Linked DNA regions of Ovis aries. Each later gene encodes a partner of the first gene's protein in a complex. Links are inferred from orthologs where the notes say so. Each region holds a gene or a part of one and is shown on either strand. Other genes may lie near its edges.

Region 1 (6,277 bases):
GCATCACGTCTTTTTGGGCCCCTGTGTTTTAGGTTCCAGTGCGTGTTCAGGGTGCTGCCGCAATGCCTGTGCCCAGAGACACCTCTGCCCAGCGTGCTGCTGACGATTGAGCTCCTGTCCCTCCTGGTGGACCATGAGAAGCTCGCAGCTCAGCTCTGCTCCCACTCGGGTAAAGAAGGCCAGGGGATGGGGGCACATGCCCGGACAGCTCCGGCTGGTTGGAGGGGAGGGAGGTGGCAGGGATGGGCCAGGCACCTCCTGAGGCCTCTCGCAGCTTGTACCTCAGGCGGTGGGTGGGAGGGCAGAGCCTGAGTGCCAGCTGGGGCCTCCCTTCCAGAAGGCTGCCTCCTGCTGCTGCTGTACATGTACATCACATCGAGACCTGACTCAGCCGCCTCCGAGACACAGTGGCTGCAGCTGGAGCAAGAGGTGAAAGCACCAGAGCCCCTTTGTGGATGGCTTGCCACCCCACCCCACGCCACCCCACTGGAGGGGCACTTTTCCTCCTTAGGGGACCAAAGAGGCTTTCATTCACATCGGTGATGTGTTTAGAAACTAACAAGGAAGACTCGTTTTGGGGGGCCCCCTACTATACAGATATAATACACGTGGATCCAGGGTATCCTGGGACTTGGCAGGGTACCTAGAGGTGGGCCAGGAGGCAGGGGGTCATTGGTGAGACACAGGTCTTGATCCTGAGTGTCTCCTGGGAAGGCCCGGGATACCATTACCTCTTGGATCCCATCAGTGCAGACAGTTCAGTTCAGTTGCTCAGTCGTGTCCAACTCTTTGTGACCCCATGGACTGCAGCACGCCAGGCTTTCCTGTCCATCACCAATTCCGGGAGATTGCTCAAACTCATGTCCATTCAATCAGTGATGCCATCCAACCATCTCATCCTGTCGTCCCCTTCTCCTACCTCCAATCTTTCCCATCATCAGGGTCTTTGGAGTCAGCGCTTCGAATCAGGTGGCCAAAGTATTGAAGTTTCAGCTTTGGTATCAGTCCTTCCAGTGAATATTCAGGACTGATTTCCTTTAGGATGGACTGGTTTGATCTCCTTGCAGTCCAAGGGACTCTCCAGACAGGCAGTTGCTTAGGCAACGGGAGCTCTGCGAGAAGCCTGAGAAAGCCCTCACCGTGACCGGAACTGGGGTGGTGGTCTGGCGCGGATGTAACCGAGTCTGTTCTCATTCTAGGCTGTGTGGCTTCTGGCCAAGCTGGGTGTGCAGAGCCCCTCCTCCCCAGTCACTGGCTCCAGCTGCCAGTGCAACGTGGAGGTGAGTGCCGGGGGCGGAAGGGGGCTGGCAGCGGGCAGCCCTGCTGGTGGGTGACAGGGCTGTCTGAGAGCATCCTATGCTCCTTCACCAGGGCTGGACCCTGGTGCTGCCGCTCAGAACCCTCCTCACCCTGGGGGGAGGCTAGGACCGGGGCTGCCCCGCCGAGCGGGTGGTCTGGGTACAGAGGCCACATGCCCTGACCTCCGCCCACGCCCTCCCGCAGGTGGTCAGAGCACTCACGGTGGTGCTGCACAGACAGTGGCTGACGGTGCGGCGGGCAGGGGGCCCCCCGCAGACCGAGCGGCAGAGGCGGACGGTGCGGTGTCTGCGGGACACGGTGCTGCTGCTGCACGGCCTGTCCCAGAAGGACAAGCTCTTCACGGTGCACTGCGTGGAGGTCCTGCACCAGTACGACCAGGTCATGCCCGGGGTCAGCATGCTGATTCGAGGGCTTCCTGACGTGACCGACTGTGAAGGTGAGCCTGCAGTAGGCGCCCCCACCCCAGCACCCACGTGGGGTCGGCCCTGAAGTCCCCAGGCGAGTCAGACCCTCTGGCCTTAAGTCAGCGGCCCACCATCCACACAGCCTTTGCCAGCACCAGGCCACTCCTCCTTTTCCTGCTCTGGCTCCTCTCTCAGTGTATCAGCCTGCCTTTGGCTCGTATCTACTGAGTCAGCCAGGCAGAGCCACGGCTTTTCCAGAAACATCCCTGTCTGAATTGCCTTTCTGTCACTTTGCTTGCAGTAGCTGAGGGAGCGAGGCCTGGGCGTGGAAGGGACTGGTTAGTTCCTGTGGGCCTGGGGGGGCGGACGGAGTGGTGGGGCCACCCCCAGTCCCAGCACCTTTGGGCCTTCACCACAGAACCTTCTGGGTTTTGGCTCAGAGGCGGCCCTGGAGGATCTCTGTGCCGTGGAGACCGACGCGGACGAGCCCGAGATGGACTGTGGCTGAGGCCTGTGAGCACCGAGCCACACGGTGGCACCAGAGCCACTCCTGTCCTTCCCTCCTCCTCTGATTAAAAGCACTGACTGGCTGAGAGCACGCCAGCTTTCTGTTTCCTGAGTTTGCTCCGCATGGGCAGAGCGGGAGGGGCAGAGCAGAGCGGGAGGGGCAGAGCAGAGCGGGAGGGGCAGAGCAGAGCGGAGCCCCAGCCCCATGGGGATGAATCTGCCCTGGGGAAGGAGCCCTGCCCCTGTGGATTTGCCCTGAGTCATCCCTCTCTCCTGAGGCCACCGGAAGAAACCATTGTGCGCAGGGGTGGAGGCGGCCCTCAGCCCAGGCCTAAACCAGGGAGGCCTGGGAAAGTGAGGCGACGGACTGGGTGCAAAATGGCCATGGCAGGGCGGCTCCCGGCAGGCCGAGTCATGGAGCCAACCTCCCCCCATAGCCTGGTCCTCCCACCGTGAGCGTGTGAGGGCCCTGGTGCACCATGCTAGCCAGTGGGCCCACAGCCAGAGATCTGAGGCCTTTGGGGCAGCCCTGCGGGTGCCTGGGGAAGGACGGGTGCTATTAGGAGGGATGGCCCAGGCCAGCTGACAAGCGGGGCGGGCCGTGCTCACACCAGCCGTTGGGCGGGCTCAGGCCAAGTTTCACTTCCCGCCACTGCTGCTGCCGGCAGCAAGAACCAGCCAGAGAGTGTGTACCCTGAGTCATTGCTGCCTGCTGGCTCCTCGGTAAGTGAGAACCCCCAAGGGGATGAGGCAGGGTGGGAGGGCTGTGGGTACCCCAACACACACTAAGAGGGCCCCAGGGGAGGAGCTGAGCCTTCCCCTGGACAGCTGAGTGAGCAGGTCCCACTAAGGAAGCCACCCTACCTTCTCTGTCTTCCTGCCTGATAGTGGGTGCTGGAGCTCAGCAACAGGATCTAATGGGGCAGGGAAGGCCTGAGGTGCTCCCACTCCACCTGCCTTACCGCCCGTCAGCGAGCACTCACGTTCCCACCCCGACCCCTTGCTCCTCCCCAGGCTCAGCGGCAGACACCCACCATGGGCTCACGGGCCCTGCCCCCGGGGCCTGTGCAGACCCTCATCTTCCTGGATTTGGAGGCCACTGGCCTGCCCTTCTCCCAGCCCAAGATCACCGAGCTGTGCCTGCTGGCCATCCACAGATATGCCCTGGAGGGCCTTTCCACCCCTCAGGGGTCTCCACCAACGGCACCCCCGCCACCCCGGGTGCTAGACAAGCTCTCCCTGTGTGTGGCTCCAGGGAAGGCATGCAGCCCCGTGGCCAGCGAGATCACGGGCCTGAGCACTGCCGTGCTGGCTGCACATGGGCATCGGGTCTTTGACGCCGACCTGGTCAACCTGATCCGCGCCTTCCTACAGCGCCAGCCGCAGCCTTGGTGCCTTGTGGCCCACAATGGTGACCGCTACGACTTCCCCCTGCTCCGGGCCGAGCTGGCGCTGCTGGGCCTGGCCAGTGCTTTGGACGATGCCTTCTGTGTGGACAGCATCGCTGCTCTGAAGGCTCTGGAGCCGGCTGGCAGCTCCTCAGAGCATGGCCCAAGGAAGAGCTACAGCCTGGGCAGCATCTACACACGCCTATACGGGCAGGCCCCGCCAGACTCGCATACCGCCGAGGGGGACGTGCTCGCCCTGCTAAGCATCTGTCAGTGGAGGCCGCGGGCCCTGCTACGGTGGGTGGATGCTCATGCCAAGCCCTTCAGCACCGTCAAGCCAATGTACGTGGTCACAGCATCTACTGGAACCAACCCGAGGCCATCTGCTGTCACAGCCACTGTGCCCCTGGCCAGAGCCAATGACACCGGCCCCAAGCTTCGCGGAGACAGGAGCCCCAAGCCAGCCCCTCCCCCAGTGAAGTGCCCTGGAGCCCCACCCGGGGAGGGGCTGCTGGCCCCCCTGGGCCTTCTGGCCTTCCTGACTTTGGCGGTAGCCATGCTGTATGGGCTGTCCCTGGCCATGCCCGGGCAATAGGCCAGCAAGGGAAGTCTGACTAATAAAAAACCCCCACAGCACTGAGCGATCACTCACCTCTACCTGCTGTGGTGGCCTTACAGCTTCCTGCCCACGCTCAGAGACCTGGGGCCAGGGGCACAGAAAATGAGTCTTTACCCCTAATCCCAGCAGCCAGGGCTACAATGAAAGGAGGCAACAGCTCGAAATATCTGCATTTATTACAAACAAGGGTGCAGACCCAAGACTCCAAACACATTAAGAGGTCCCAACCTACGACATGGTAAGACACAGACAGAGGGGTGGGGAACACCGAGGTATGTGTCTAGGTCACAGGAGCCCCCTCAGGGTCCCCTCCACCTTTGGTCCAGACGACACCTTGACCCAGGTGTCCCCGCTGCCAGGACACACCTAGGCCCGGGGTCCAGCAGCCGGGTAGCCTGTGAGGCTGGTGATGGAGAAGCAGGAACTCAGAGTCCCTCTCCTCTCAGGGAAGTCTCCCTCTAGGACCCAACGGTTTCAGCCTCACAGCAACCATTACACACATTTTGAAACAGAAAACAGGTAAAATAGTTAGTGAACAGTAAAATAAAAACACTGCAGGGAGGACACCTGAGTGGACAAGTGGTCAGAGGCTGCCCTGTCCACCTGTGAAAGGGGCCAGGGCCAACCGGGGCAACCAGAACCATGGGTAAGTGTGGGCCTCCAGGTGGTCCCAGGAAGGGTGCGAGAAGGGTCCAGAAAGATAGTTTTCAGGAAGGGTGAGGCTCCGCCTGAGGCGTTCAGATAATCAGGCCACCCACCCTCCACGGGGCAAGGCCCCGGCTGTGGGAGCCACAGGAAAGATCGAGACCCACCTGCAGTCCTCAGCCTCACCCGCTCGCCCGCACTGTGGCTCTAGTGCTTCAAAGACGGCTAGCCATGCCACAGAAACCGGAAGACGGGTGCATCCTGCCCACACAAAAGCTGAGCTGTCCTAGTATGACAAGCATCCCTGCTCCAGCCCCAGGTCTCGCTGGGGTGGCTAGAAAAGAACCGTTCTGTGGGGTTCCAGGAAGCATAATCTCAAGTGAGGAGGGGAGCACAACGTGGTCCCGGCAACTCTGCCATGGGCTGCTTCATGCACCCCTCATCGCCATCACACACACCACGCCTGGGGAGAGAGGCCCGCACCCGCACACCCAGTCACACACGCAGGACAGATCAGCTGGTAGCCAGAGACACCAGGGAGTGCTCAAGAGACTATCTTCGGGGGCTCCATGTAGGCCGGATTATAAGGAGGCTGGCTGGCAGGGTAGGGCAGGGCTGCATCTCCTGAAAACAGAGAGGACACCAGTTAGCTGTGGCCGTGGCTGCAGAGGGTCAGGCATGGTGGAGTCGGCAGGCGTACTCACCTGCCATCGTCTCGTGGTAGGCGGGGGGGCCCATGGGCTGGGTTGGGTAGGGTGCTGTTGGCAGCCCCGGCTGGGGCACCACGGAGTGGTAGCCCTGGTACGTTGGTCCAGGGTAGCTGGGCGGTTGCAAGTAAGGGGTGTGGGTCACCGTGGTGGCCGTGGTGGTGGTCACAACCGCTGCAAAGAGAGCCCCGGTCAGGAGCGCCAGGCTGGCCACCCCGCCCTCCAGCTCAGGCCAGCCAGGGCCCTGGCGAGCCCACCACACCGCCCGGGTCTGTGCTGCCCCCGAGGGGTCACCGTGGGGCAGGGGGGGATGCTCACGTTGCGGGCGCCGGCACATCTTGTACAAACAGCAGCAGGAGCAGGTGCAGCAGATGATAACGGTGACCACGCCAATCACAAAGAGGGTCACCCCGATGGCGAGCACTGTGCCGAACCTGGCAGAAAGCCAGTCAGTGCTCCAGTGGCCGAGACCCCACACCTCCACTGCCGGCGCCATGGGTTCGATCCCCAGTCAGGGAACAAAGATCCCCCATGCCGCACACGGCCAAAAAAAAGAACCTAAATAAAGCCAGTCAAGATCCAGGGCCTCCCGCCCCCACCCAGGACCGGCAGTCCACACCACACCCACTCCCAGATGGCACCTCTCTAGCTGGAGGAGAATGGGCAACACAGATAAAGGCGCTTCGG
Region 2 (6,488 bases), on another chromosome or scaffold:
CCCATGCTTCCATTGCAGGGGGCACGAGTTCAGTCTCTGGTTGGAGAAGTAAGATCACTCAAACCTCACAGCGTGGCCAACAAGGTTTTTTTTTGTACTTGTCTTTGATGGACACTGAAGACTAGATTTTGTGGGAGGGCGGTCCTATAGCAGACTGTGTTTTCACACCCCTCCCCACCCTCTTTCTTCAATCTGTGGGCAATGTTTTAATTATCTCCTGTGATATTTACATTTCAAACACATGGTAAGATTTACAATTTCAAGAGACAGAGAAAGAATGCAAGTTTTCTCTTAGAAGTTTTGGGGTGTATTTCTCTATTTCCATAAGTCTAGGGTAATTACTGATTAAAATTTTTCTTTGTATTAGAGGTTGGACAACGTCGAGTGCTTCATCTGTTTCACTGTCAATCACTACAACATCCTCCCCTTTGTGCTTCTCACTTTCCCGAGGATTCTGTCTCTTAGTGCGCTAATCAGGCTTTGTCACAGCACTTGGACGTTAATCTGCAGCAGCTTGTGCCCTCCTAGCTTTGCTACATAAAAGCTAAGGTCTCCAACTTATCAGCCTGCTCTTTTACCTTGTCTCCCAGCCCCAGAGCTGGCAGAGCAGTGGATACCTGCATGTTCTTCTCTGACTTCAGCACTTCTTCCAGCTAACTCAAGCTTCAGCCTCTGGTGCATCTGGGGCCAGTGGCTTGCCCGCTGTGGCAACCATTCATTTCTCTTCATTGTTGCCTGTGTAGTTTCTCTAACAAACATGTTAAAGTAGCCAGGGTTTCCGGGGCATCCCTGTTCTCCTGTAGTGGTCCACAAGCATCAGACATACAGGCCACCTTCCCCACATAGAGGTAGATATTCAGCTTGGAGTTCCTCTAGGGATGCTTCTTTCTCAAGGCCCATTTCTTCAGTGTCTTGGCTGGTTCCCCAATTATTAGTTCACAAATTGGCCCTGAGAGTAGAGGGCAAGGAGAGACCAAAGAGGCAGACCACTCTAGGTTGGAAGGTGGCAGTTTTAATAAGACAGGGAACATACACATGAGGCTTATCTTGGCTGATTGCATTGTACCCACCCAGCAGAATCTTAAATCATATAGAGGCCTTAACTGGGTTCAGTCACATGTTCTGTGCAGATGGTCTCAGTAACACCTTACCTCTCTCAAAGCTGCATCCTTGAATGGCTCCTGCTATGGGAACAGTGTACAGAGTGTATATTCCAAGGACAGGGGAGGGAGTGAGGAGCCTCTGATCGCCTGGGTCCAGATTGAGGGTGAACTGGCAGTCACATCCACTTGATATGACTTAACAGAAGCTTATTCAATCAAATGAATTATAACCCCGGCTTTTCGACCCTTCTCCACTCCGGGATATTAATTCATAGATGGGGGGACTGAGGTGGAATTAGGTTTTTACTAGAGAGTCCTGGAATTGATGTCACAGATTTAAAGCAGCTTTGTGGGATAATCTGCTTGAGAAGGATAATGAGGTAGGCAGGATATTCAGTGTTGCTTCATCCCTCCACCTGCCTATCCCCAGGACCATGGCCAGCAGCGAGCGCACCTTCATTGCCATCAAGCCCGATGGAGTCCAGCGAGGCCTCATGGGAGAAATAATCAAGCGTTTTGAACAAAAGGGATTCCGTCTTGTTGCCATGAAATTCATGCGGGTAAGTGGACTTCATTCTTGCTGTTTCTATTACTTCATAGAAATAGGGGAACACCGTAGGTCAGCCTCTCTCTCCCTTCAGATCATTTTAGATTTCTCCATTTAGAGTGAATAAATGTCCTGAAACTGTGGCCTCTCCACCGAGTCTTGGAATACAGCGAGTTATTCAGGACTTTCAGAAGTAGCCTCCCTTTTCTCTTGGCAGTGCAGAGTTCCACATATTACTGTAACACAGTGATTTCTGACACAAAGCCCTGGACCTGTTTGAGCTGCTGATCTTGAGCTTCCTGAGCAGATCATTTTAGAGACTCCCTGACCCTCACCTTTGCCCCCACCCCCCCACCATTTGAGGCAAATTGTTTTTCAGCAAGGAAGTCTTTTTATCATTGTTTACCACCTGCCTAGTGTCTAGCATGTATTAGACGCTATCTGGGCATATAGGGGAAAGCTGTGGCTGTGCCCTTGGGGAGGCCCACCTGAAACAGAGAGCAAATGCCCTTGCAAGATACCTGCAAAGCAATATTTCAAAAACTCCAAAGGATTGATTGGCCAAGAACCCTTCTTCAAACACACCTGGGAAATAACTTAAGTTCTCAAAGCAAATACATTAGGGGATCATCTTTTTTTCCCCCTATTAAGAGTCACCTTTAGTGAATGAATCAGAGAAAGAGAGTCAACTTTGGACTTTCCCAGTGCATTTTATCTTTTAGCTGCGCTGCATGGCTTGTGGGATCTTAGTTTCCTGACCAGGGACCGAACCTCAGCCCTGGCAGTAAAAGCATTGAATTCTAGCCACTGGGGCTGCCAGGAAATTCCCCATCTAGTGCATTTAAAATTTTGTTTGATTTGCACTATAGTTCCCATGTGATGTTTTAGAAAAAGTGTGTTAATATAAAAGGGAGCAGACTGCTGTTAATGCTGAGGGGATAGCATGATAGAATGATTAGAACCAGGGATTGGATTAGCAGTGCTTTCCAGAGAGTTTGTATATTGAATTAGGTTTTGAAGATAAAGGGAAATCAAAGTATTATTGATCAGATATTTACCATGTGTTGGGCACATGTGTTTTCTCACTAGCTCTCATGACAACCCAGAGAAGTATTTATTTCTATTCCCATGGTTGTTAATGATAAGGAAGCTAACTGGGGCTTGGAGAGTTTGAGTAACGTGTGGTTACCCAGTTGGTGACGTAGCTAGGATTTTCACGCAGGGCTCTCTGACCCTTAAGTGCATACATTTTGTCCTTTAGACTGTTTCCTATCAAGGGCCTGGACTTGGTGAAGAATGGGTTGGGGGATAGCTGCCATGAGCCTACAGGGTTATTTAAATCTGATGTGAAGGAAAACTTGAGTTCCCTCCCACCTGTCCCCGCCTCCCGCACCAACACACAAAAAAAGCCAGCGCCAATTAATAGAATTAAAAGAATGTTGGTAAGGGAAGGTCATCAGGAGACAATCACTGCAAGTCTCCCATATGGATTGAGGGATGGGTCAGGATGAATACTAACGGGGTGACGATGTGGCTGTGTAATTTTACTTTGGCAAGAGACGATCAATGGGGCTGAACGATAGCATGTTCAGGATGTGCTTTTTGGCAGCAAATCCCCACGTTTGTGTGTATCACTGAAGTGTGCAGCATTCTGTACGAAGCAGTACTACAGAACTGGGAAAACTAAGGGATCTCATTAGACCCTTAAGGAGCATGTAAGTGGTAGCAAAGAGGAAACACAGGTGAGTCGAGTTGGCATTGCTAAGCAGATGGTTTGCTCTCTATAACTAGTCTGATTTGTTCCCAGATACCAGCCTTGCAACGTGAAAGATTTATTCTTTAGTAAAGTGACTTATTGTTAGATGGCATGTGCTTTTGGGTGGTTTGCAATACCTGTGGAAATTGCATGGTCACTGCACTGGGCCTTTGCTATTTTTTAAATGTGATGAGAAATGCTCTGGTTCAGTTTGCTTTTCATCCAATGCTGAGACCACCTCCCTCTAACATTTTAGTTGAGAATTGTTTGGGAATGCAAATTCATCGTATTGTTAGTTTTCCTGTCTAAAATACCATGGCTGGATTCAGTTCTAGTGTTCTGTAATTTTATGCTGATCAATCAAGGACAATAGGGGAAAATTGGTAAAAGCTGGAGCACTTATAGTCCCTGTCACTTTTGGTAAGTTGAGTGAATTAGATTATAATAGAACAAGTGAGCTGAGAGCTCACGTTTTAAATAGCAGGATTGGTGAGTGGGAAATAACTAAATTGTGCTTAAATAGTTTGGGAATGAAATTTCTTTCTCTATCTTATGGGCTAGGCTTCTGAAGACCTTCTCAAGGAGCACTATATTGACCTGAAGGACCGTCCATTCTTTGCTGGCCTGGTGAAATACATGCACTCAGGGCCAGTGGTTGCCATGGTGAGTGTACATGTTTGGGATGTTGATACAGATGGCTCAGTTGGGAGCAAAGAGTGAATATTGTGATTCCTGCTCCTAATGCCAGGTCTTCACTGATGCGAGGATGCTGAGACTGGGGCATTGGACAATTAGGGTATGAGTTTTCTGACTCACCAAAGGCAAAATACATTTGCTTGGTGAGCTGAAGACTCATATCTGGGAGACATCAGGAGAGAGATGCCTGATTGTAAGCTCCTGGAGGGTAGAGAGATTGTGTCTTATTTATTGTAGTAATTCTTCTTTGAGCACGTATTGGTTGTCATCTTTGTGCCAGGCTCTTTTTTAGACACTTGGGGATATAATCATGAATGAGACAAAAATAGGTAACTGTTTTCATAGCTTTCCTTGCCTGTATATCCTGAAAAGGGAGGATGGGCAGATAATAAAGAAACCAAAAATCATACATAGCAGCTAATGATTAGTGATGCACAGAAATGAAATAAGATGACATAATAGGAAGTGGCCACATTAGATTGAGTGGTCAAGAAACATGATTTTCAAACTGAGATCTGCATGAGAAGGAGCCGGCTATGCACAAATATAGAGTGAAGAGCATTCTCAACCAAGAAAATAGCATGTGCAAAGAACCTGGGGTGGGGAACTTTTTGAAGTACAGAAGGACGTTTGGAATAGATGAAACCTGGTGGGTGAAAGGGAAGGTTGGGTGAGATTTATTCAGTGGCAGAGGCAGAGGCCAGATTATGTAGGGCTGTCTTGGCCCTGTACTTCATGACTGCTGGGAGGCTGTAGGAGTTTTTTACGCTTGGTATTTTAAAAAGTCCACTCTGGCTGCTGTGTCAAGAATAGATAGTAGAAAAGCAAGAAGAGTGCAGGAAGACCAGTATTCCCAGTGCTGAACACTTAGATGCCCCATAAATACTTGTTCGATGAATGAATGCCATTTTATGAGAGCCTTTTATTTTCTTTTTGAATTAATAGTTTTCAGATTTTCTGCTGAGATTGATTTTTTTCCTTAACCATATCTTCTTCTGTCCTTGGAGGTCTGGGAGGGACTGAATGTTGTGAAGACAGGTCGAGTGATGCTTGGGGAGACCAACCCTGCGGACTCCAAGCCAGGGACCATCCGTGGGGACTTTTGCATCCAAGTTGGCAGGTAGGGGTTGTTGCATTTTACTCTTATCTAAAATCCAAGTTAGGTACAGTAAGAATTTGGTTTTCTGCAGCTGAGGGTAGACATGATGCCATATACAGATCCATTTATAATCAGAGTGTATTGTTTCCCTCTTTCTTACTTTGGCTTTTCTTAGTTTGGCCTTGCAGGCCCTCTGCCTTTGGTCATCATCATCACTATGGTTGTGCCTCTGCTGGGAGAGTAGAACCTGGCCAGAGTCTTCCTGAAGGCTCCCACTGCTTGCATTAGTGTTCAGATGGGCTGAACATCAGAGGGCTGGCTGTGTGGAGGGAATTCTTTATCCTTACTTTGATGGCAATCATAGGTTTCTTCTTTTGACAAGGAATAATGTACATGGAGCTTTGTTTTTTTATCCTGCTCTTGTGGCTGTAGGCTTTCTGGCAATGGGAATGAGGGGAGCTTCTGGGCAGTTTAATCCTGGTTCTGGCCATCTCTTTCCCCATCCAGGAACATCATCCATGGCAGTGATTCCGTGGAGAGTGCAGAGAAGGAGATTGCCTTGTGGTTTCACCCTGAGGAACTGGTGAATTACAAGAGCTGTGCTCAGAACTGGATCTACGAGTGACTTGGAAGCAGACCACAATGCTCATCCCATGCTAGTTTCCCCCCCTCCCGCAGGCAAGGACCAGGCCATTTCAAACCTGGTTATTTCGGAGAACTTGCTTTTCATTTGGAGGGAAACTCTTGGAGCTGTGGGTGCTCCATGTACAGTGTTATATGCTATCATCAGATTAAAATGTTTCATCTCAAGGAAAGAGTCATTGAGTTACTTTTGTTTTGTTGTATTGCTTTGTATTCTTTTTTTAGGTACTTGGCTAATCTAATAGAGTGTAAATACCATATAAATTATTTATATTGGCCTGAGAGATCACACATACACACACATTTTTATGCCTGTCCCTCTTTCCCCTGCATTCTGTCCATTCTTGGCACTGAGCCAGTCAAACAGCTATCTGCCAGGGATCTGCTTAGTTGCCCAAACTGTACTATATACATCAAGGATTCCCTGGAAATAAAAGATATTAATATCTTTCTTGCTCTTGAGAAGCTCTCAGGGATTCAGTGTTTGGGCGAGTGTGAGAAGTTGTAACTACTCCAAAACAGAAAAGCTATGTGGATAGTGGGCCTGGATTTCTGAGATGACCTTAAAACATGCAGGAGTTATTTTGTAAAGAGTTTTGATTTGTTAGGATATTGATTTGGGTGCTTTAACAGAGACAAGATGTA

The links.
Region 2: TREX1 (region 1) and nucleoside diphosphate kinase A 1 share a complex: the UniProt entries of both Homo sapiens proteins name them as parts of the SET complex. The link is inferred for Ovis aries from reciprocal best matches to the Homo sapiens genes TREX1 and NME1.

What each region holds. Positions count from the first base shown.
Region 1 is NC_056072.1:51,424,855-51,431,131, reverse strand, and holds TREX1 (three-prime repair exonuclease 1), read left to right. Parts: upstream 1-2,865; 5' UTR 2,866-2,954; intron 2,955-3,245; 5' UTR 3,246-3,266; coding exon 3,267-4,214; 3' UTR 4,215-4,259; downstream 4,260-6,277. Other genes in the region: ATRIP (ATR-interacting protein), read left to right, coding at 33-169, 338-429, 1,200-1,280, 1,504-1,756, 2,165-2,232; SHISA5 (protein shisa-5), read right to left, coding at 5,428-5,507, 5,588-5,764, 5,909-6,024. UniProt on the Homo sapiens protein: Major cellular 3'-to-5' DNA exonuclease which digests single-stranded DNA (ssDNA) and double-stranded DNA (dsDNA) with mismatched 3' termini. Prevents cell-intrinsic initiation of autoimmunity.
Region 2 is NC_056064.1:35,332,313-35,338,800, reverse strand, and holds the end of nucleoside diphosphate kinase A 1, read left to right. Parts: intron 1-1,533; 5' UTR 1,534-1,537; coding exon 1,538-1,663; intron 1,664-3,967; coding exon 3,968-4,069; intron 4,070-5,109; coding exon 5,110-5,222; intron 5,223-5,708; coding exon 5,709-5,826; 3' UTR 5,827-6,016; downstream 6,017-6,488. UniProt on the Homo sapiens protein: Major role in the synthesis of nucleoside triphosphates other than ATP. The ATP gamma phosphate is transferred to the NDP beta phosphate via a ping-pong mechanism, using a phosphorylated active-site intermediate.